Caenorhabditis elegans: one gene and its partners. The protein of the gene in region 2 purifies or fractionates together with the protein of the main gene of each other region. This does not show direct contact. Each region holds a gene or a part of one and is shown on either strand. Other genes may lie near its edges.

Evidence for each region.
Region 1: the proteins of dpy-27 (region 2) and dpy-21 purify together in Caenorhabditis elegans (affinity purification with western blotting, with the first as the bait; one study listed by BioGRID). This does not show direct contact.
Region 3: the proteins of dpy-27 (region 2) and capg-1 purify together in Caenorhabditis elegans (affinity purification with western blotting; one study listed by BioGRID). This does not show direct contact.

The regions. Positions count from the first base shown.
Region 1 is NC_003283.11:17,945,982-17,951,465, forward strand, and holds the start of dpy-21 (Lysine-specific demethylase 9), read right to left. Parts: upstream 3,213-5,484; 5' UTR 3,048-3,212; coding exon 3,024-3,047; intron 2,976-3,023; coding exon 2,925-2,975; intron 2,062-2,924; coding exon 1,967-2,061; intron 1,800-1,966; coding exon 1,650-1,799; intron 1,107-1,649; coding exon 1,039-1,106; intron 560-1,038; coding exon 1-559. UniProt on the Caenorhabditis elegans protein: Histone demethylase that specifically demethylates dimethylated 'Lys-20' of histone H4 (H4K20me2), thereby modulating the chromosome architecture. Promotes chromatin compaction by converting H4k20me2 to H4K20me1 leading to transcriptional repression.
Region 2 is NC_003281.10:3,813,468-3,822,110, forward strand, and holds dpy-27 (Chromosome condensation protein dpy-27), read right to left. Parts: upstream 6,213-8,643; 5' UTR 6,211-6,212; coding exon 5,785-6,210; intron 5,736-5,784; coding exon 5,634-5,735; intron 5,552-5,633; coding exon 5,193-5,551; intron 5,009-5,192; coding exon 4,253-5,008; intron 4,190-4,252; coding exon 3,952-4,189; intron 3,746-3,951; coding exon 3,537-3,745; intron 3,489-3,536; coding exon 3,038-3,488; intron 2,907-3,037; coding exon 2,469-2,906; intron 2,150-2,468; coding exon 1,872-2,149; intron 1,805-1,871; coding exon 1,456-1,804; intron 1,352-1,455; coding exon 811-1,351; intron 705-810; coding exon 442-704; 3' UTR 177-441; downstream 1-176. UniProt on the Caenorhabditis elegans protein: Central component of the condensin I-like dosage compensation complex that associates specifically with hermaphrodite X chromosomes to reduce their gene transcription throughout development.
Region 3 is NC_003279.8:7,633,576-7,641,908, forward strand, and holds capg-1 (Condensin complex subunit capg-1), read right to left. Parts: upstream 6,211-8,333; 5' UTR 6,189-6,210; coding exon 5,941-6,188; intron 5,900-5,940; coding exon 5,797-5,899; intron 5,740-5,796; coding exon 5,533-5,739; intron 5,485-5,532; coding exon 5,314-5,484; intron 5,256-5,313; coding exon 5,153-5,255; intron 4,810-5,152; coding exon 4,585-4,809; intron 4,538-4,584; coding exon 4,117-4,537; intron 4,065-4,116; coding exon 3,915-4,064; intron 3,860-3,914; coding exon 3,433-3,859; intron 3,383-3,432; coding exon 2,787-3,382; intron 2,727-2,786; coding exon 2,546-2,726; intron 2,009-2,545; coding exon 1,838-2,008; intron 1,781-1,837; coding exon 1,420-1,780; intron 1,361-1,419; coding exon 1,263-1,360; 3' UTR 917-1,262; downstream 1-916. Other genes in the region: lrp-1 (Low-density lipoprotein receptor-related protein), read left to right, coding at 96-214; F26A3.1 (Lipid droplet-associated hydrolase), read right to left, coding at 6,850-6,974, 7,021-7,204, 7,252-7,359, 7,405-7,640, 7,809-7,991, 8,042-8,192.

The DNA of each region.
Region 1 (5,484 bases), on a different chromosome or scaffold from region 2:
CGAGGTCGTGGTTGTGGTGCTGGTGGATCCTTCTTCACACTCTCCACAGTTGTCTGATGAGCTCCGTTGAGCAACTCCCGAACATCCATGTTCAGTGGCTTCTTCGCGGGTGGTGGCACTGGTGGTGGTGGATGAAGGCTAAAAGATCCATTACTCTCCACACTATTGAATCGTTCTCTCGGCACTGGGGATCTCAGCATCCCGGGTGACATCGTCGACGATAGACAAGCAACTGGTGGAAGGATCGGCGGAGGTGGGATGCCTGATCCATTCCAGCTACGGATTCCGATTGGCTCTTTGGTCCTTAGATCAGGCATCGGAGGCTTCGGAGGCGGTGGAGGTAGGCGATCGCGGTAGGCAGCCGCAGCCGCCGAGGCAGTCATCACTGGTGGTTGTGGTGGTGGAATGATGGGTGCAGGTGGTTGAGTGACATAGTTCGGACGAGGTTGATAGTACGGCGATGGATTCATGTGTGGATAGTATGGGGCGCCGTTGGACATTGATGGTGGTGGTGGATGTTGGATGTAGTAGGATGGTGTCGCCGGATGTTGGGAAGGGCCTGAAAATTGGAAGCTTCTCTTTTTTTTAGGCTTGAAGGTTCTTTTTAGGCTTTAGGTTTAGGCTTGAAAAGCCTGAAGAAATCGGATTTTTCTAAGGATTTTCAGGCTCGTTAGCTGGAAATTTTCGATTTTTCGAAATTTTTTGGTCGAATAATCCAATTTTTATGACTGTAAAGGGCTTTAAAGTTGGGAAAAATCGCAGAAATGCGAATTTTTCCAACTGATTTATGACAAAAATTGAGATTTTCGGTGGTTTTTTAGCTTAAACATGAGAAAAATGTCAATTTTTCAACTAGATTTTCGGGCTTAAGCTCAATTTCAATAGTTTTAACTAGAAAAATTCTGAAAATTTCAAATTTTTAGATGAATTGTGTCAAAATCCTCAGTTTTAGAGGCTCAATTTCAGGCCGAAAAAACCAAAAAACGCCTAGTTTTCATGCTCCAAAATCGTTAAAGTACTGCAAAAATCAATAATTACCAGGAATTCCTTGTTGTGGCATCATCATCGTCGGATACGGATACGGATATCCTGTAGAGCTGCCGTATCTGAAAACATTGGGAATTTTAGAGCTCTAAATTTGAAGACCCCCAAAAAATATTGGCTTAAAATTCAAAATTTACGTGAAATTTCAAATTTTTTATGGAAAAATTTGTGAAAATTGCGGAAGAGTGGTGCTTAAAATACTTTCAGGAAAATAATTTTTGAAAAAAAATTTTTTTTTGTTGGAATTTTTGAATTTTTGAAAATTCAAAATTTAAGTGAAATTTTGGAATTTTTTTAGAAAAAAAGTATAAAAACTGCGTAAAAGAGCTTAAAAAGCATTAGAAACACCAAAAAAGACTCTACAAAAATTAATGACCACTGTCGGGGGTCGAACCCCGGACGGGTGGGTGCCAGTCGGACCGCTAACCGACTGAGCCACTTGCTCCCCAAAGCAAAAAAAATAATTTTGAACTTTTTTCAAGTTTTCGCCTAAAATTCAAATTTTCAGTGAAAATACGAAAAAAAAATTTAAGTTTTTTCGTCAAAAAAAAAACTTTTACCAAAAAAAAATTTTTTTTCGAAATTTTAAAAAAGAAAATGCTCACGTTGGATAATAGGAATATGGAGCAACAATTGGCTGCTGCTGTTGCTGCTGTTTTACAGGCTCATCCGGCGGTGGAAGAGGCGGAGTTTTAGGCCCACGGCGTGGGCGGTATTCACTATAATCATTGTCATGGCTGCTGCTCGTGTGTCCGCTGAAAATTGGGGAATTTTTTTTCAAAATAATAATTTCCAGAGATTTTCAGCTATTTTTGGGTGAAAATTGGAATTTTCTAAAGAAAAATGTCAGAAAATAGGTCAAATTTCAGCTTCAAAAATTTAGGCCAATTTTCAGCCGAAAAACCAAAAAAAAATCGCCTACTTCTGAGGTCCTTGTGGTGCTGGAACAAACGAATCATTGCTCAGTGATGAGCTCGACGAGCACGGCCTTTCGTTGGCTTCTGTGGGTTCTCCGTCCTGTAAAAATCGATTTTTTTTTGCGGTTTTATGTCGAAAATTGGGTTTTCACTGTGTTCTCAAATACAAAAATTAACAAAATTTTCGAATTTATCGTCAAATTTCAGTTCGAATGGTAATTTTTCAACAAAAAAAAATTTTTTTTTGGGTGCACAAGTGGCTCAGTCGGTTAGGGGCCCGACTGGCACCCACACGTCCGGGGTTCGACCCCCACTGTGGCTCATAATTTTTGTAGAGTTTTTTTGGCATTTCTACATCAAAACTTCGTATTTCTATCGAGATTTCCGGTGAAACTATGTTCTTTCAAGTCCAAAAGTCGTCGATTTTTAGGCATTTTTTGCTCTAAAACTGAGAAATTACGAGAATTAGAGGTTTTCGGCCTTATAAAAACTAAAATTTGGTTTCAAATTCGAAACCTACGGAAAAATTCAGATCGAATTCTTTTTTTTTTGTTGAAAAAAACAATTTTTTTTGGTGCAAAAGTGGCTCAGTCGGTTAGTGGCCCGGCTGGCACCCAAATGTTTGGGGTTCGACCCCCAGCTGTGGTCATTATTTTTTGTAGAGTGTTTTCCGTGTTTCATCACAAAATAAATTGGGTATTTGATTAGACAATCAAGTTTTTTAGACTTTTTTGACTCCAAAACTGATAAATTTCGATAATGAGAGGTTTTCAGCATTTTCCAAACTAAAATTTGATGACACATTCGAAATCTACGCAAAATTTCAAATCGATTTCAGTTTTTTTTTCGAAATTTTTTTTTGGGTGTGCAAGTTGCTCAGTCGGTTAGGGGCCCGACTGGAACCCACACCTCCGGGGTTCGACCCCCGGAAGTGGTCAAAAAAAATTTTTTCGAGCTACTTACAGGTGTTCTCGGTCCACGCGGACGTCTCGGCTCTTCAGGAGCACCAGAGTTCTGCAAAAATCGATAATTTTTTGGGATTTTTTTTCCTTCGAAACAAACCTTATCAAAAGTGGTGCTTCTCATATTTTATATCACTTTCAGACAATTTTGTTTGGAGATTTTTTTTTTTTGATGTTCTTCTTCTTAATGTGCAATCATTCTTCCTTCAAAATTGTCGTTCAAAGTGCAAAATTGTTGTTCGGTTTTGTTTTTTTTCTGTGTTGGCGCAAATTTGGGTCTGAAATTTGGAAAATTTTTTAGAGTAAATCGGAGAAGAAATGCGGAAAATCTAGGAAAATTTGAGAAAAAATAGGGATTTTTCGGTGAAAAATAGACAAATTTGGCACAATTTCGATGAAAATCCATATAAATTGAAAGAAAACGCTGGTAGCACAACTTTAACGTATTAAAATTTCCGGCCAAAAAGCTATTGCTTGCAGGAATATTCAGGAGAATCAGAATTAAAATAGATTCGAGATACATTCCATTTTAATTAAGCCTATGGCTATGACGAATTCGGAGTTAAACACGAATAAATTAAATTTTCCCAAAAAAAAAATCGATTTCTCAATTTAAAACATAGTTCTTAAACACTATAAAGGGCAATTTAATAAACTGAATTAATAACTATAGAGTTAATTAAATCATGCTCGTTATAACTTTTGATTAAAAGGATTTCTGATTTTCGTAATTTAACTAATGGGGTTATTCAAGTAATGTTGTAAAAAAATTATTAAAATACATGTTTTTATGTATTTTAATTAAGCAGCTGTGATGTCATTTTTCTACACTTTTTCAATTTTCCGCGACACTACTCGAATAATCCCATAAGCTATAATGGAGCACTTGTTTTATTCATGAAAATCTTAACTTATTGAGTTAAAAACATTATTTATGAACGCAAATTATTTTAATAACTTATTAATAATACGTCAAAGGTGAAATTAAACAAGGTAAGTTCATAAATAATAGCTATATTCGGATTTCTATATTCTATTGTTAATTTAGTTATAGTCTAATCAGAAGTAATAAGGACGGAATGCGGAAATCGCAACAAAAAAAAAAGGTTTACGAGAATTTGTGTTCTATAAACAATACGAGCATTCGGAGAGAAATATGACACTTTTTCGAAATATGCTAGGAAATTATATTTCAATATATTTAAAAGTCCTCTATAATAATAATTATTATTGATTTAATTTAATTGTACTCTATTATCAAAATATATAAACTGACATGTGAAACGTGGCTTATTTTTTATTTTTCCTTTCGTTGAAATTTTAATTTATTAGTTCATTTTAAAAAAATGGGAGGAGCTCAAATAAAAAACAAAGCAAAAAAAATAAGCCACGTTTCACATGTCAGTTTATATATTTTTGATAATAACGAAGAATTTAAATTAAATTATTAAACGTACTCATTATTAACGCACCAACTTTAAAAAGGTGGTGTAATTATATTTTTACTACGTCAAAAGTGAAGAAGCTTAATTTTTTTCTATACTAGTGTTAATTATAATAATTTCTTAATTCTAAGCTCAAAAATAATAGTTACATTCGAAATTCTTCCCAAACTATAATTTCGGTTAATCTGAGTCGATAAATGAAAAAAAAAATCGTTTAATTAAGTTACTAACGAGAATTTAAAATATTTCGCAAACTTTGCAAATTTTCTTCAAGAAAATCTGAAAAATATAGAAAAGTCTATATATCGTAAATATTAACGTGATAATGAATAGTGACAGCGGAATTATTTTTTGAACAAGACGAGGCTTTCAAATTCTTATTTTTTATAAATTAAACTTATTAGCAAAGATACTTATCACGATTTGTTAGTAACTATTTAAATTAGTAAATAAAGTAATTTTACTCATTCAATGATTAAAAGTAACTAGTAAGGAAGTATTACATTTAAATCAGCTTCTATAATAAAACATTAACGATAAACTAAAAACTAATGGGGTTATTCAAGTAATTACGTCACAACTGTATTAAAATACATAAAAGCATGTATTTTAATACAGTTTGTAACATTACTTGAAATAAACTAAACCCCATAATTTATATGATTTAAAACTAAATCTCCGCTTAAAAAACATTAATTTCTACCCATTTCAAATAAAATCGGCTTTCGAAATAAATTGAAATGAATTAACCTTAGAACTTTCTAATCAAATTGTTTGCTCTTTCTAAACTATATATTCAACTAAACCACAAAAAAACGATCACGATATAATCGTTATCACTATCGATAGCGATGGTGCACAAAAAAAATTCAAAATCCAAATAAAAAACCACCCCCGGCGGTAAACGCGAAGAAGAAGAAAAAAGGGGGCCTTCGTCAGCACATCGCCGTGCAGAGAGTATCGAGAGACATAGAGAGTGTGTGTGTGTGTGTGTGTGTATGCGTGAGAAACAAGAAGGACACGCGACGCGACCGCGTCGCTCCGGCTGGCTGGCCGGGAGAGAGGACGAGAGGGTCGAGGCGAAAGGGGAAAGCGCACTTGCACCAAACATCACGG
Region 2 (8,643 bases):
ATAAAAGATCCTGTTTTTTAACAGATTGTCCAAAATTTTTAGTCAAATTTTTAGCAGCTTTCGAAATTTTAGGAAATTTTCTTTGTTAGGAAATTATTTTTTGATGGCATTATTTTTTTTAGGAAAAACTTTGCAATGTAGTTCTAAAATAAAAATGAAATAATTATTTTTGTGAATCGTGAATCGAAAATTTACCTTGTCAGCGAATTAAGAAAATGAGATAGATTGGACAGTACGTGATGCAAAGATATAGGGGTTTCACAAAATATACAACAAAATGGAAATATATTAAAAAGGGAAATAATTAAAATCACAAGGAAAAATTAAGCTAGACGAATATTAAAAAATACAAGCTTGAAAGAAAGTTGGTCTCATTTTTTGGATTTTTCACAAAGTTTTCTTTTTTTTTTCAAAATTTAGTTTAAAATATATTACTTCAATTTAATGTCTGCTTCTTCGCACACGGCGTTGAACGACAATTGGTGGTGGAGATGGAGTTGCTTCTTCGATCAATTCATCCTCTTCATCTTCCTCTTCAACTTGACGACGCGGACGTCTTCTTACTGGCTCATCGTCTTCATCTGAATCCTCAACACTTAATTCACGACGAGTTGCGGGTGGGAATCTATTAAATTCAGGAAGATCACTGTCATCATCGAGACCAAAGTCCGAGAGTTTCAGCATTTCCAGCCGGCGTTGTTTACCTGAAAATTGGTATTTGTTGAGATGGGTTTAAGTTGGACTGGTTGCTACTTTGATTTGGTATTTTACAATTAAAGTGCAGTTGATATGTCACTAATTATTACTTACGTTTTGGTGCAATAACGACATTGCTGAGCCCATTACTCAAATCAATTTCCGGTTCAATCTCGGCACGTCGTAGCTTCTCGCGCCGTTTGATCTCCTCCTCGAAAATCTTCAAAATCGGACGATTCTTGATCTCCACCGCGATCGGATCCACCATAATGTTATAAGTTTTTCCATCGATTTTATAGATACCAAGCAAGCGATTTCCGACCTCGAACATTTGATTTCGAAGCGAAATTATGATAAATTGAGCGTTCCGTGTTCGCTCGGAATGCTTGATATAGTTTGCAATCAGGCTGACATTGTTCAAGTCCAGTGCCGCATCGATTTCATCCATCACGTAGAGGGGTGTTGGACGGTAGTGGTGCATTGCAAAGACAAAGCATAAAGAGGCCAGAGTCTTCTCTCCGCCAGATAGATTCTCGATGAGCTTCCAGGATTTCTTGGCGGGACGTACACTGAACTTTATTCCACCATCGAAGGGATCGGTAGATTTTCCTTCTTCCACAAACTTCAAACTAGCATCTCCGCCATTGGTGATAAGCTGTAAGCAAATAACTTGTTTCTTTTAATCTCATTTAAAGCAATGGGTCTGACAGAAAAAATGCTTCCTGTCAGCCTGGTAGCAGGCAAGTACCCCTTACTCACCTGGTAAAGCATTTGGGTAGTAGTACCCAAGAATGCGAGCGCCTCGCTGAACTCGTTGAATCTCGCCATTCTCAACTCGTTGAGCTTCTCACGATGAGCCTTCAGCTTATCGCTAAACTTCTTCGCTGACGTCACCTCGTTCATGAGAAGCGACACAATCATCGCATAATCCCGAACACCTTTATTATCAAATTCCCGCCGGAACTTGTCAACATCTTTTTCCAGCTTGCAAATCTTGTTAGCAGTGTCCTCGAAAACATCGTCCTCAAGCATTCTCGCTTCGTGCTCTTCGTAAGCTTCACGGTGAGGTTCGATCATACTGATGCATTCATATGGGAGTACAACGTGCCTAAAAACTCAGTGATTATAAATTTGAATTTGCACATGGAAAATCTCCCAAAGCTTCTGAAACGTACCCATCAGTCATTTTGGCCGCAATATCTGGATCATTATATCTGACAAATTTGCCAGGTGGATAGAGCTTTTCCGGTTGCATCCATGCAGATTCAATAATATCAAGTTCTGCATTATCCGCCATTGTCTTGTTTTCCAAGTCATCAATGATTCTCATCAGTTCATCATAAGTCTGTTTGACCATGTTGTAGTTGTCAACTGTGGTTTGATAGGCTGCATCTGCTTCTCGGCGTGCCGCAACCGCTTCAGTGTACCTGGCTCTTTGTGCATCAATGCTGGCCTGGAAGATTAAAAATTAGAAAATAGTAAAGCTTGAATTGGTAAATTCTGAATAGCTCGAAAATGGCGAACTTCATAAGGAGACTGCTTAAAAAAGCGCAAAAATTGTTTGAATAGTGGTTTAAAATTTTGAAAAAAAATCGAAAATGTTTACTAGAACTAAGGGAGCAAGGTTGGAAACACCAAGCTAAAGCCTAAGCCTAAAAAAAGCCTAAGTTGGAGCTCAAGCCAGAACCTAAGCCTGGACCTAAGCTTGAACTGAAGTCGAAGCCTAAACATAAGCCTAACCAGAATCCTAGTCCTATAGAAATTAAACATACCGTTGAAGTTTGCAATTGCGCATTGATAATATCAATTCCCTTTACATCCTCTCCAACTTCCAATTGAGCCAATGCATCTGCCTCGCTACGTTTCTCCAGACACATATGCTCCAGCTCACTAAGCTTCTTCTCGGCCTGCTCCAAATGTGATGGATTGTTCTCAATAATTGCAGTTTGTCGTGCAATGTCCTGCTCCAGCTGTCCCATTCGATCCTTCGCCTGCTCAATTGAGTCCTTATTTTTTTGGACCAACTCCATAAACATTCGGTCCATTTTCCGTTTGTATTGCTCAATTTGCTGCTTGATTTTTGCTGAAGACTTTTGGCTCTCCTCCACTTGACGTTTCAGATCTGCAATTTGAGCTCTCTTCTCGTCCAAATCCTCAACGGTCACTTCTCTATAGTTAACCATACGGCGCTCATGTGCTGCGATTGAGCTCTGGAAATAATTAAAAAATTAGAATGGAAATTTTGAATAAAATCTAGTTTTTTTTTCGATATATCCATTTTCAAGAAAATCGGAACAGCGAAAATTTCTGTGTTTCAGTAAGAGACGCAAAAATAAATCACCTTTAACTCGGCAATCCGTGTTTTCTGCTCCTTGGTGGACATAATCAATTCACGCTTACGAATCTCGAGCTGTTTGATAATCGGACCATTGTCGGCTCGGATCTCTTCTTGCTTTAACTGCAACTTCAAATGAGCTTCCAGTGCGTGATTGTGCTTCTCCTGTGCGGCTCTTAGCTTGCTCAAATCAACTTTTTTGACTCCACTCATGTTTGGATTATTATCATTTCGAATACGACCAGTCGTCGGTTTTCCACCACCAGTCAATGCTCCACTTCGGTTCAAAATTGAGCCATTCAGTGTGCAATAACGATGCCTTCCAGGATACTTCTTATCAATTCGAGTTGCTTCTTCAAGACTGTCAACAACCAGAATGTCATGGATCAAGAAATAGAATTCGCGGCGAATCTCAGGGTTTACACAGTGAATCTTATCGAAAAGTCGTTCGGCTGGGCTGAAAATAAGAATTAATTAGATTTGGCAACTAAAGGCAACTACCAACAATTTCATTGTAGAATCCATTCCGCTAGTATCAGTATCTTTCAAGTGATCCAAGAAGACAAACGTCGTACGAGGAAGTTTGTACTCGTGGCAGAAGCCAATTCCGATTCTACATTCATCGCTAGTTTGCACAACGTGGTAATCCAATTGTGCAAAGAACACTGTTGAAATTGCGGTGTCGAACTTGATTGGGATACTTGCCAAATCTCCCTGTAAGACAATTAATTTTAAATTGGTCCTCGAAAAAAAATCAATTCGAAATCAGACTAAACGTGTGGCTTCTGAATTTGAAAGATCCTATTTAAAATGTATTTCTCCCAGAAAAATCATACTTACATGGAACATCAGATTACCCCAGGATGCTCACAGCTAATCAAATTTCAAAGCAGGTACTCACTCCCAATCGAATAACTTACCAAGCGACCTTTGAAGCCCGGAAATAATCCAGCCTCTTTCAGTTCATGAAGCTTTGCGGTTGCCTGATGACGGTACGTAACTTCCTGGGTGTTCGATGCTTCAATCACTTCTTGATCCAGCTCATACTTCTTGCTTCTCAAAAGTTGTTCGGTAGACTTCAAATGCGGAAGCTTCTCGACAGCTTTGTCAAACTTCAGCTTTCTATCTTGCAGCTCAGTTGTGACGGCGTTTAGCTCACTGGAAGGATATGGGGAATTTTTAAAAGCTGGTTAAAATAAAATAAAATAAAATAAAACTTACGTATTATCTCTAATGTTCTCAGCCATCATTGTTTGCAATGTCCCTTTAAGCTCATCAACTCTCTTCTGTCCCTGCTCCATCATTATCGTCATATCCTTAAGTTCTGATTCAGAAACGTCCAATTCTGCTTTTGCTCGCATCGATTGCAGAAGCTCATCTGAGAGTTTTTTCTCCAGATCATCATGCTTCGCTCTGTCGGCACTAGACTTCTGATCATACTTGATGAGATTCTCTGTAGCTGTCCGCTGACACACATTCTCCTGCTCCTTGAGCTGATCCCATTCGAGTTGCATGTTTTGCTTAGAGATTCTCGCATTCTCTGGAGCCGTCTCAATTTCAAACTTCTCCCGACGAGCTTCATCCCGCTCCTTCATGAGCTTCCCAAGGTCCTGAGTACACGACTTGAGCCCCTGCTTTCTCTTAGCATCACGTGCATGCCAGTCATTCTTCTTCGATTGCCAATCGATTCTTTTATTCTCCAGCTCAGTGACAATACTATTAAGGCTTCTCTCGTGAGTCTCCTTCTTCCGAACTTCATCCTTTGCCTCAAGCATGATATCCTTGTTCTCTTCGAGTTCTCCTGTTCGAGTGACAAGACTCATTTTGGCGTCCCTCATTGTTTCAGCATAACGGCACAAATTGTGCTTGACACGGATTCCACGAAGGTAGTTGAGATTATTGAAGGTATTCAGGTAGGCCATCCCGATAACCATTGCCTTTTCAAAGACTTTTAGGTGTCCCTCGTGGCGGCGAACACTGGAAATGGAAAGAATTTTAATTTGAAATTTTTTTAAGTTTCAGAAAATTAATATATTTCAAGTTGAAACCGCAAAGTTTTTTTGTTTTTTCCTAGTTCAATTTGAATTTCCATGCTTTATATTTTTATGTGGTACATCCGTGCCAAAATTTGTGGTATTTAATAATATTAAAATGAACTTACGAGGCTCCATATTGTGAACTTTTGTGCTCCAATAGAGAAACCCGATGCATTAGTTTGGAAATTGGTGCGACAAAACGATTGGTTCCAACAATATCCTCAATATATTCAAGCATTCCTTCTTCATTCGGATTTTTGGATGTTGGCTTCATTAGTGCAATCGCTTCAACTTCTCCTTGCAGAATCAGGAATCGATTATGGGTCATATCAATTCCAGCACGTAGGAGAAGCTCCTGGACGTCTTTTTGCGATGCATCTTTGTCATCAATACGATATTTTGAATTGTTTTCACGATTTATTGTGCGGGTGATGCAGACGCAATTATCTGTTAACACTTCATATTTATCGTAATTTTCGACAGGCTGAAAATTAATTTTGATATTGATAGTTATTAGTTTGTTTTCAATCGTGTGGATCTCAGGCCCGCTTTAATAACCTACTTACCATATCCTTCACCATCTGGAACATAATTGTTACTGAACATGATTCGTAGTTCCCTCCTGAATTGATCAATGCTGATAGCTTCTTGGTACGAATTTTTCCAGCCTGAAACAATGTATATTGTGGAATAAAAATTTCAATTTAAAAAACTCACTTTAAATCCAAACACGAATAGCAATGCATCAATAACGTTTGACTTTCCACTTCCATTTGGTCCCAGGATCATTGTCAAGTTCTTGTGAAACGGTCCGAGAATATGTTTTCCAGCATAACTTTTAAAGTTCTCAACGTAGATATTCAGAATTATCATTCGATTTCCATCCGGATCCGAGATCTGATCTTCATATTTTGGGGGAATTTGAACATTCAAAAGATCCTCTTTTTCATCATATTTCACACCGTTTTCAGCCGCTTCAAGTTCCAACATATACGCGCCTGAACTAACATCATCGAATATGTTGAGCTGTTCCATGTACTGTCGTCGGCGATCCACGTCGAGATCGACTTCAGGCATCGAGTCGGTGTCAGCATATGGTCTATCATCGTCCGAGGTTAGCGCCCGTCTTTTAAACGGCTGCATACCTGAAAAAAGGAATTAATTTTGATAAATATTAAAAGGGAGAGGGAGAGTAAGAGGTGCATAATTTTGCCAAAAAGGCAAAGCTTTGGAAATGTTTTGACAACTGGCAAACTTTCGACCCCTTCCAATCAAATTTTTTTGGTAATTATCAACTGACAAAATTTCTTTGAATGCCAATTGCCAACATTACCTAATCAAAAAATTTTGAAATATATATTTCATATTTAAAATTGAATCACACAGTTTACAAATTGATAACATTGAAAAAAGTCATCTAGAAATTTATTAATGTTATAGTATATTATATAGTTATCAGTATGATTTCACCTCAAATATTGAAAACTAAATTTTTAATGTTGGGGAAAAATTCAAATCGATAATTCAAACGAATTTTTTTTCCGGACTTTAGGAAAATCAGGGCACAGATAACATTGGAAACTATATATAAGTTTGTTAATTTTTTTAAGATTTAAGATTATGAAAGCTGCGCTAATTAATTTATTTGTCAAATTCAAAAAAAAAGTTAAGAAACGGTCACACACGAGCACACACCCATTTCATTGCGCGCGCGCAAGCGTATGTCTGTGTCTGTGTGTGCGAGCTGTTACTACTGCTGACCGAGTGTGGGGTTAGAGGCAGACGACGAAAGAGAACGAAGGTGAAAGTGGAAAAGAGCATGGAGAACGTGGAGACTGAGAGAAATGACAGACTCCGACTGCGGTCAAGACGATTCGGGTGAGAGAAAGAATAGTGGAATAAGAGACGGAGAGAATCCATAGCAATGGGTGGGTGGGTGATGAGCGGAATATTGTTGCGAAGAAGGTTGGGTGTACCAGACTAAGGAGCTGGAGAGATAAAGATTCTAATTATTTGAAAATTTGGCAAACGTTTCCCATTACTAGATGTACAAATCGATATGCTACAGATAGTCGATCAACGATCACGCTTTGGGAAAAGTATACGAGTTTTCAGCTGAAGAGGTCCCCAAAAAACCGAGAGGTTTTTATATGTATAATATTGAAAAAAAATCACTAGATTTTATTGATAAGAAGTAGTTTAACACGATGAGTGAAACTTGAAATTTTATATTAGATATGTATGTGAATCCAGATGGAAGCATGAAGGAAATGAGCCAAAAATTTTGTCAATTTATGTGTCTGTACGATCTCTATTGAACTTCGTCTATAATAGAACAAGTAGTTAAAGTCCTGATAGGCATTACTGTCTGCGATTACCCGTGTCTTGCTCCGTCAAATCCATTGCACCAGTTGATCCGGGCATCCTTAATGAAGAAGAGAATAGAAGAGAATTGAAGTCAGAAGACAAAAGTATAAAACTGACTAGTTTTAACAAGGTGTGAGAAACAAGAGACGGATGATTATTTTGTACTTCTCAGGTCGCCTAGGTAACAAGCACACTGGTACGGGCTGGCACGACTCCATCTTGTGATGGGTAGAAGAGGTGTGTGAGAGAAGAATATGAGCTGATCTCCTCTGTTGAGATGATAGATAAGCTTATAATTTGAGCAGTTAGTTGCGTGTAATTGAGGATTTCGTTTTTGATGTTGCAGCCAACAACGGGTCTTCTAATGGTGGGAAATGAGAGATCAAACAACGGATGGTCTTGTGAGCAAGAACATCTGCCAACATACGGTTCAGATGAGCATATTACAGAGTCACAAACCATGTAAACTTCTAGAAAGTCTGCAATCGAAAAAATGGAGGGGAACTGTAGAAGAAGAAACAGGGGTATAATTTGATGTAAAACGGATTTGGATGTAAAACGAAATTTTCAATTCCGACAAAATGGCGGTTTTCCGATTTTCCGGATATTTTCATTTTCGGCAATTTTCCGGTTTTCCGTTTGCCGGATATCAGATTTGCCGGAAATGATTAGAGGTATTTTTCATAAGACGGAAACACTAAAAACTGTGCCTATTTGATTTTTTTTCCCCGTTTTTATAGTTACTTTCTTAGAATTTGTTCACTTTTCAAAACAGATGTAGGAACATTCATAGGATGCGTACAATTTTGCCAATTGAAATTGAATTTCTGAAATTTCCAAAAAAAATGTGCAAAATCACAATTTGCCGAAAATTTTCGGCAATCGCCGGTTTGCCGGTTTGCCGAGTTTCAGGAAAAATCGTTATCCGCCCACTCCTGGTATATGTACTAATATAATAGAGTTAAAAAATTTTAGACAAACCCCCACAGTATGTAGATCTGAAGGCTTAAACAGATCATTATACTAGTAAAACTATAATAAATTTATATACCGATTTTGCATTAAACATCAACCCCCCCCCCCCCCTCAAATTTCCCAAATCCGCAATTGTCTACTATTTTAATGTCTTCACCATCTGCACCATTTCCCACCCGTATACTGTCCTAGACTAGGTCTCCTGATCTACCCCTATATCTCCCTTTCCTGACC
Region 3 (8,333 bases), on a different chromosome or scaffold from region 2:
AAAACGATGTGTCTCAATTCCCGCATTTTTTGTAGATCACAATAGATTAAAGTAAATTAAACGAATATCTGAAGTATAATAATTTCTATTTGCAGTCCCAAAAGCGGAAATCTCGAAGCCACCAATTCCAGCTCGACCCAAAAAGGAGAAAGCTGATCCTCTACGAGTAGACAATCCACTTTATGATCCAGATTCAGAAGTTTCTGATGTCTAATTCTCTTTCTCTCGTATTCTAATCAAAACTTCTCTGATTCTCCACTCTGTGATACGTTTTTTTTTTCATATTTTGTACATGATTTTCCTATATTTTTCAGTTTTTTTTGTTTCAAATGTTTTTCCCAAAAAAAATTCCTCTTCTCAAAAGTGCCTTCCCCCACACATTTGCTCCCTGTAACTCAATTTTGTGCCCATTTAGATATTATTTTCACTAGAAATTTCCATATCTTTTCCCCTCCATCCCCGATCCCCGCGTGGTATTGATCACACGTGTAAGCTTCTCACTTTTTTTTTCATATTTTCACCAAAATTTCTATTAGAATCATAAATAATAATAAATTATTATAAACTTTCCGATTGTACTTGAAACAGGTATTAAAGGTGCACCAGTTTGTCACAACGGGTCTCGCAGCGAAAATTCATTTTTTAACGTATTGATATTTATTCGAAAAATTAAGAGTTTTCAGTAGAAAGTTAAATTTACATGCTCATCACTGGAGCTCCGAAATCTGTAAATATATTTATATCTGGAAAAAATCAATTTTTAATGTTTTACCTCATCCTCTTGACTAGCCACCAATTTGTATCTTCTGCACATCGAGATAATCGCCGAAATTACTAAAACAACCATCATCAGCCCCGAGATTGATGCGTAAATGAACAAGAATCGATAGTAAGTGCCATGTCCAGAAGGGTGTTCGATTGAAATCTACGAATTTATTTGATAGAATTAAGAATTTTCTGTGGAAGTTAACGAATTACAAAAGAAAACTTTACATCGAATGCCTTAGTTGCATGTAGGGTAATAATGATGATGAATATGAAGAGACCAAGTGGAGAATTTTGCATTATTGTTGGGTGGTTTGTATAGTCGAATAAATAATTTCTAGGAAATGAAATTAGAGAATTAAGAAATATGGCGGAAAAGGTAAAGTTATTTAAATTCATAAAAATTGGGAAACGTGTTCGAGGAAAAAAAGGTTAAAATGTAAGTGGTAATAAATAACGAGATCGAAAAGCACAAGTCAATTTAAATTATTAATTTCTCATTTTTCACTTCTCAGTTTACGTGCACTTCTTGGAGGTGCTGTGCGAGCTGCAACTGCAGTTGGACGGGTAGCTGTAGTTGGACGGGATGGTGGTTCTGAAAATATTCAGTCCGTTATGAAAAACCAAATACTGAAGCGATCTGTTCAAACTCACTTTTAGTATTTCTGGGTGGACTTTTCAAAATCTCCAACGCATCCTCTTCAACTAAAGGTTTCTTTTTCGTGGCAGACGCTGGAGTTGCTCGTGGAGCTCTCGGTTTTCTAACAGTAGCGGGTCTTGATGGGCCAGGCTTATCATCTTCTTCCATATTCACATCATTATCAACTGCGATATCCGTGCTGATCAAGTTCGCATTTCTTTTGTTGGTTTTGGACGGCGCTGCTTCTTTTCTTAAGTCAGTTTTGCTTGGCACTTCTTCAATTTCATCTTCGTTCAATCCGAGAATTTTCGCTATCTTTCTATGAGCCTTTCGAAGTTCGTTGTATCGATGCTTGTCACCGTCTAATTCGTGGAGCTAAAAATTGAATGTTTTCAAATTAGAATAATTTATAATTATTTGGTATATACTTACAAATATATACGATTCTAAATCTCCATGAATTTTTGTGAGAGCTGATCTACTGAGACTCTGATATTCCACGAAGTTAAGAGCACAAATATAATAATCGACAGATGTTGAATCAGGAGCTCCAGCCATTTCGTGAAATATGTCATCCACAAGGTCGACGTGTGTTGGTTTACACTGAAAATTAAATCATTCATAACTATTTATCGGTAGCACAACTGAAAATTTTTAGGTTTTCGTTTTTTTCGAGTTTTTTAAAATCGATTTTTTGTCGTTAACCTGTCGTTAACTAAAAACCTCATACAATTGTAAAAGTTTACACCTTTTTTTTCGAAAAATGGCACTAGGAATTGTGATTCCGTGTCCAAAACGCAAAAAAATCCCCAAATTTGATTTTTTTTTTGAAAATTGCACTGAAAACTGACGGAAAAAATTTCGGGATTTTTTGGTGTTTTGGACGCGGCGCACAGTGATGTCGTTTTTTTTTTAAATTGTTTTCTTTAAAAAATGTATTTTCTGGATTAGAAAATATATTTTTGCTCCAAAAAAACTGTTTAAAACTTAAAACTTTGAAAAAAGGCAGGAGGAAAAATATTCGAAATTTTTTTGTGCACAATCCTTTCAATTTTCAACAAAAAAGTTTTAGACTTGCGAGATTTTCGCTTATTTTTCGCACTAAAAATAAATTATCGGATTCAACTCTGATCGGCATACCTTCTTCTGTTCTTCCAATGGAAGCGTGGAATGACGAGTCAATGCAACAAAAGTGGCTGCACATCTTTTAAGCTTTGTAACCATTTCATGGCGATTTTCAGTCAACCGTTCGGGTGTCGTAGAGTTGGCCCACATATCGAAGAAATTGTGGAATGATTTAATGAGAAGAAGTTGATTGTTTCTGAAAATAACTTTTTAATTTTTTTCATCAGTTTCCCAGGAAATGAGAAGCCAAGCTTACTTGTTGATAGAGCAGAAGAATTTGAGCATCACAATGATCGTACTGCGAACTTTAGCGGAGAAGCGATTAGTGATCGCGTATGAAGCTCGAGTCATAAGTGTAACCATTGTACGTTGCCATTTTTGTTGATTCGGGTCAATTTTTGTATTCAAGAAGAGTCTTGAAATTGCTTCAACTGCTCTTAACATGGTTTCACATTCTCCTGAAACATGTGCATTGACAACAATATCCGATAGAAATACTGCAAAATTGGGTTGCTTTGAATTCCAGCTGAACAGAGCGTCAACTTGATCGCCATGCTCAATTTGAATATCAGTGAGCGCAGCAATTAATGAACACTGAACTGGTTCATCTTGGGTGTTAAAGCTCTTCATCATTTCACGAAGAGTATTTTCTGCTTGATCATAATCATAGATTGCACCAATACCAATACATTCAGTACAGAGAACACGAGTACTCAAATCTTTCGATGAAATACCCTCGCGAAGCTTGTTGTTGTATCTATTCTGATAGGTTGTACTCCATCCAAGTAAAATTCCAGTTTTCAATAAAGCATTCAATACTTTCAACTCGTAGAGATCAATAACTGCGATTCCCTGAAACATTTTCAAATTTTGAAAATTAAATAATCTATATAAAATCTTACATCTTTGTCTGAAATTGTTCGTCGGCCGGTTTTGCGTGTTTCCTCTTCTAAATCTTTTCGAACCTTTGTCTCTCCAACGGGTACACTATTTTCAATAACTGGAAACTGTCCACTTTTATATTTCGATCTCATTTCTTCAATTCTATCATTAAACAATGTGAACAGTGCATTCGGATCTTCTTTGTAAAATTGTGCGAGTTCTTGAACGATGAGATCAATCACTTTTTTCTGATAGAACACATTCATCAACATTGAAATTAACATTTGCTTGTATGCATCAACTCCAGGTTGATCTGTTGGTGCATGTCTCATCACACATATTATATTCTCAACAATTGACATTTGCAGAACGAAAGTGTGATCCTCGTAGTCTGCTCTTTGGCTAATGTTCGGATAAACATCCAGATTCTTGACTCGAACGAGAATTCTGAAAAATAAAATTAATTGTTACTCTTATAAAACAAATAGTAAGAAAATCATACTTTTCCACATGCTCTACCATAGTGCGCAATGGACTGACGAAACGTGACATGGCGTTTATCTTATCAGCATCATTCCGTTTTCTATCGGAAATATAATCAACAAGACATCTCCAAAAGAAGATCATGGCTCGATTGGTGCTTGGATCTTGTCTGAAAATGATAATCTTGCTGCAAAAAACCATGAATCCAGCAAGAAACTCACGTATCAGCAAGCTCGCTGTCATCTAAAATTGATCCAACAGTACTTTTAGTAATAATCGGCACCGCACTTGACTTCATTTTTTCTCTCAAATCGCTAATTAAAACCTCTGCGAATGTGTTAATCGGATCCGCTTGACAGACGTACATTTGACGAATAACATCAAGTGTATGAGTTATCAATCGTCTCAAGTTTGAGTGACCTTCCAATGTTTCAAGAGCACCCGTTAGCCATAGCAATGTAAGTGCTTGGGCCGCAAGAATATATCCTTTCATTTTATTCTCTTCTCCTGTTGTGGATTCAGAATTAGAATTCAAAATGACAACATCATTGGAATCTTTGCTCTTTTGACTTTCGCTCCATCTCGTTGACAAATTACGAACCCAATTCTTCAGAACTTCCTTTGCCGCATCTCGAATATTTACTGGAAAATTACAATTTAATATCATTAGTCATAAATTACAAACAAACCTTCATGGTCTTTCAGGCATAAATCAAGCATTTCAATTTTTTCGCGAACATGTTTGTTTGGCCTGAGGTTTGAAAACTGTTCAAGTGCTGCGACACGAACATTGAGACACTTGTCATAATAGACAATGTCTGAAAGTAGTCTAACATCTGTTTCTAATGGTACCATTGATTGAACTGCAACAAGTCGGCATTCCCATGCTGTGTCTCTACAGGAACGGAGAAGAACTGAAATTTGTAATTTAAAAAGAACAAACGCTGGTATTGTATAGTAATTTCACAACACCTTGGCATGCTAGGCGCACGGATTTCTTTATATGGGCCAAGTTTCAAAATACGTATGAATTTTTCATTTAAAATGTTTGTTTTTCCTGTGAAAAGGATTAAAAAACTGATTTTCAACAACTTTGAACAGTAAAATGCAAGGAAAAAACAATGAAGCAGCCGCAAAATTCAAAATTAAACTACCATAAATTTTTTTGTGCTTTGATCCAAAAAATATATGGTAGTTTAATTTTGAATTCTACGGCTGCTTCATTTAGTGCGCCTTTATAAAAGTTTGAAAACTTACGTTCTCTTGGTGAATGTTTCATAGCATCTACTGGCCAATTCGATGGAATTGGTATTTCTTGCAAGAATCCTAGGCCTCGAATAGCTGGAACTCTGGCGGTTTGCTGAAAAAAGTTCAATTTCAGCTTTTCAGAATTGAATCAACTTTTGAATGAAACAAACCTCCTTGTCAAGCAGTGCTCTCTTCAATTGTAAAAACATTTTAGCTGCAATCTTGACTTCAAATCCAGAATATTCACCCTCAGTTGTTAAATATCGTTTCCCTGTCTCGAATATATAACTGATGAAGCAGGTCGTGTTAATTCTCGCAGCAACATTATCACTATGTCCCCACTGAAAATAAGTTTTATTATGCGGATTTTTATTAAATTGAATACTCACAGTGTTAATAAAATTGATAATAAAATCGAGGAGATCCGATGGAAGCTTGAAAGCTTGAATTTCAGTTATTGTCACTGCGATTAATTTAAAGACACGAGCCCGATGCTCAGGAACAGTCACCTCTTCGATAATCATTGAAAGTCGGACATCTATTTCATCAAGGAAAACTTTCATTAAATCGACCTTTTTCTTACGATTCTGATCAGCCTGAAAATTGGATAATTTTTAAAATTATTTTTATTTCGATTTTTAAAATAAATTAACCTTTTTAAATGCTGCAATCAGTTTCCGCGAACTGGTATGTATTTCATCATTAATATCATCACGAGATTGAAAAACTGTTCGAATTGATTCTACGACTCTTTTTCTATAAAATACTTTAGTTTTTTTTTTCATTTTGATACTTACTTTATGAAAAGTGCTGCAGAAATACAAGCTCGATCCTCTTTTGTCATGTTTTCATTGATTCTAAGAGTGGATACACCTTCGCTCAAAACTGTATTTTCCGCATCGTTTTGATCATTGTTTAATTCTTCATTATTCAAAAAATCAGCACTTTCGTTGAATGATTCATCTGAAGCCACATCTGTACCAGTTGATTTTTCCTCACGAAGTGCTGGCAACTTCGGCCCGCGAATTCGCTTCTTCGGTGGCATGAGAGGGGTGGGTTACTGAAAATTTGAAAATTGAAATGAATTAACAAAAAGATAGACATTCAGAAAAAGAATAACACATGTCGAATTGTTAAAATATCTTGTTATTCTCTGCATTTCCACTGATAGTGAAAATACCGGGGCGACAAATGATCTGTATATGTCCCAAAAATGGAAAATTACAAAATATCTTTTTAAACATTTAAAGACTCGTGTATAAAACAGTTTCCAAAGAAACAAAAGAACGAGGTAATGACTGAAACGACTAGAGCACGCCAATCTGCTGTTTCGCTCTCTTCGATTTCAAATTTGCATTAGAGCGCACATGCTTTCGCGCCGTTTTATTTATTTTTTATTTAAAAACGGAACTTTCGGAATTGAAAAGGGGTTTTTTAATGTTTACTAAGCCTAAGTAGACTAGAATTCAGTAGAGAGCAATAAAGTTTGTTTCGTCACCACTTAATCCTGGCAGTAATAACTAGAGCTCCTGTTAAATACTTAAATAAAATCAATTAATCAATTGAAGAAATATTAACAGGTGTTAGAAACAAACACATAGAAAAGGAAAAACAATAAAATGTGCAAATATTTTTATATTTATTAAAAGATAAAATTCTAGGTAATGCAATCACAGGTTGAAGTACGGAAAACTCGGAGCAACTGATCAATCGAAATATTTTATAACATTTCTCGCCATAATGTCTCCTTCAGAAATAACAAAAGCGTGTTCACAATTGTCTTCGTCCAATGTGACCTGCTCCTCACCAAGTCTGTCCCGCATGGAGTATCCTATAAATTTTATTTTCAATCTACACAACGTTTTCAAGGTCAATACCATGCTGCACTGGACACCATCCATCCTTGAGGCCATAATAGAAATGAACCACGTCTTGTTTTTCCAAAAGACGCTCATCTAGGTCTAAAACGATATCAAGTTCATCGTTTGACATGTGAACTATATTTCTGAACACATCCATATGGACAAGCTCAACTGCCGCATCGACGATCTCTGGGGGAGTCTGAAAAATTATGTTTTTTGTTGCTTGACATTCAAAAAAAAATTTACATTAGGATGTCTCAGGTTCAATCCAACAAGAAATTTTTTGATCGAGTTTGGCAGGTAATCCACCCACCAGCAAATCGTTTTTGTGAGCCAATCATGATGGTTCAATGTCTGAAAGTTTACAATTAAAAATTAAAATAAAGAAATTGAATTTACAGCTAAAGTTCCATGTAATCGTTTCCCATTTGGTGAGTTTGCCATATGAACTATCGTTGGAAACAGTCCAACAGCTTTTTCCACGTGGAATCCTTCTTTTATCACTTCAGGAATGATTCTTAACATCATATACGAACCAATGCTATGCCCCAAAATGTACAGTTGCTTTCCACGTGGCAGGTGCTCTTTCACAAATGATAGTTTGTGATTGACTTGTTCCTCCAGAGAAATTCGGTCTGGAAATATATTATAATCGACGTAAAAACGCGCTCCGCACCGGATCCATGAGTCTCGTTAGGTATTTGAAAAAAAAACAAAAGGGCGAAAAATACTGCGAAATCGGCGAAACTAAATAAGTTAAAAGGCTGGAGTGAACGGTTCTTCGTTTTATTTGTATTTATTACCATGATTTCGATGTTCTCCATCATCTTTCAAATGATCTGGCATTCGAACATGATTGAGACTTGAAACTGTGTAGAATAAATATTGATTTTTCAAGTTTTTCTGCTCATCTTCATCTTTCTTTATCAAATTTTGCAAAACTTCTCGTCCGAAATGAGCGTAGAATCCTTCGTTTCCGGGATTTCCTGAAATTAAAATTTTCTTAAATTTTTAAAAGCGCAATTTCCCGATTTACCTGGAATCATTAAAATAATCACTCGATTCTCGTTCTCCTTTTTCTTCTGAATTTTCAGCGTTTCGTCTGAAATATCCAACCCCATGACGGACATTTTCGTCCATTTCCCTGCTACTCGAACCCATTCCACTTTTCGAAGAATTGAGGTCATCTATATGTAAATAAATAAGAAAAACTGGAAAAATGCGGTTAGAAAGAATGATATTGTGTTGGGAAATTTTCACCTGCCTCAATAATTATTTTTAAACATCTGTAAAAAATCGATGGAGGAAGATGGCTTTATCTCAAGTTT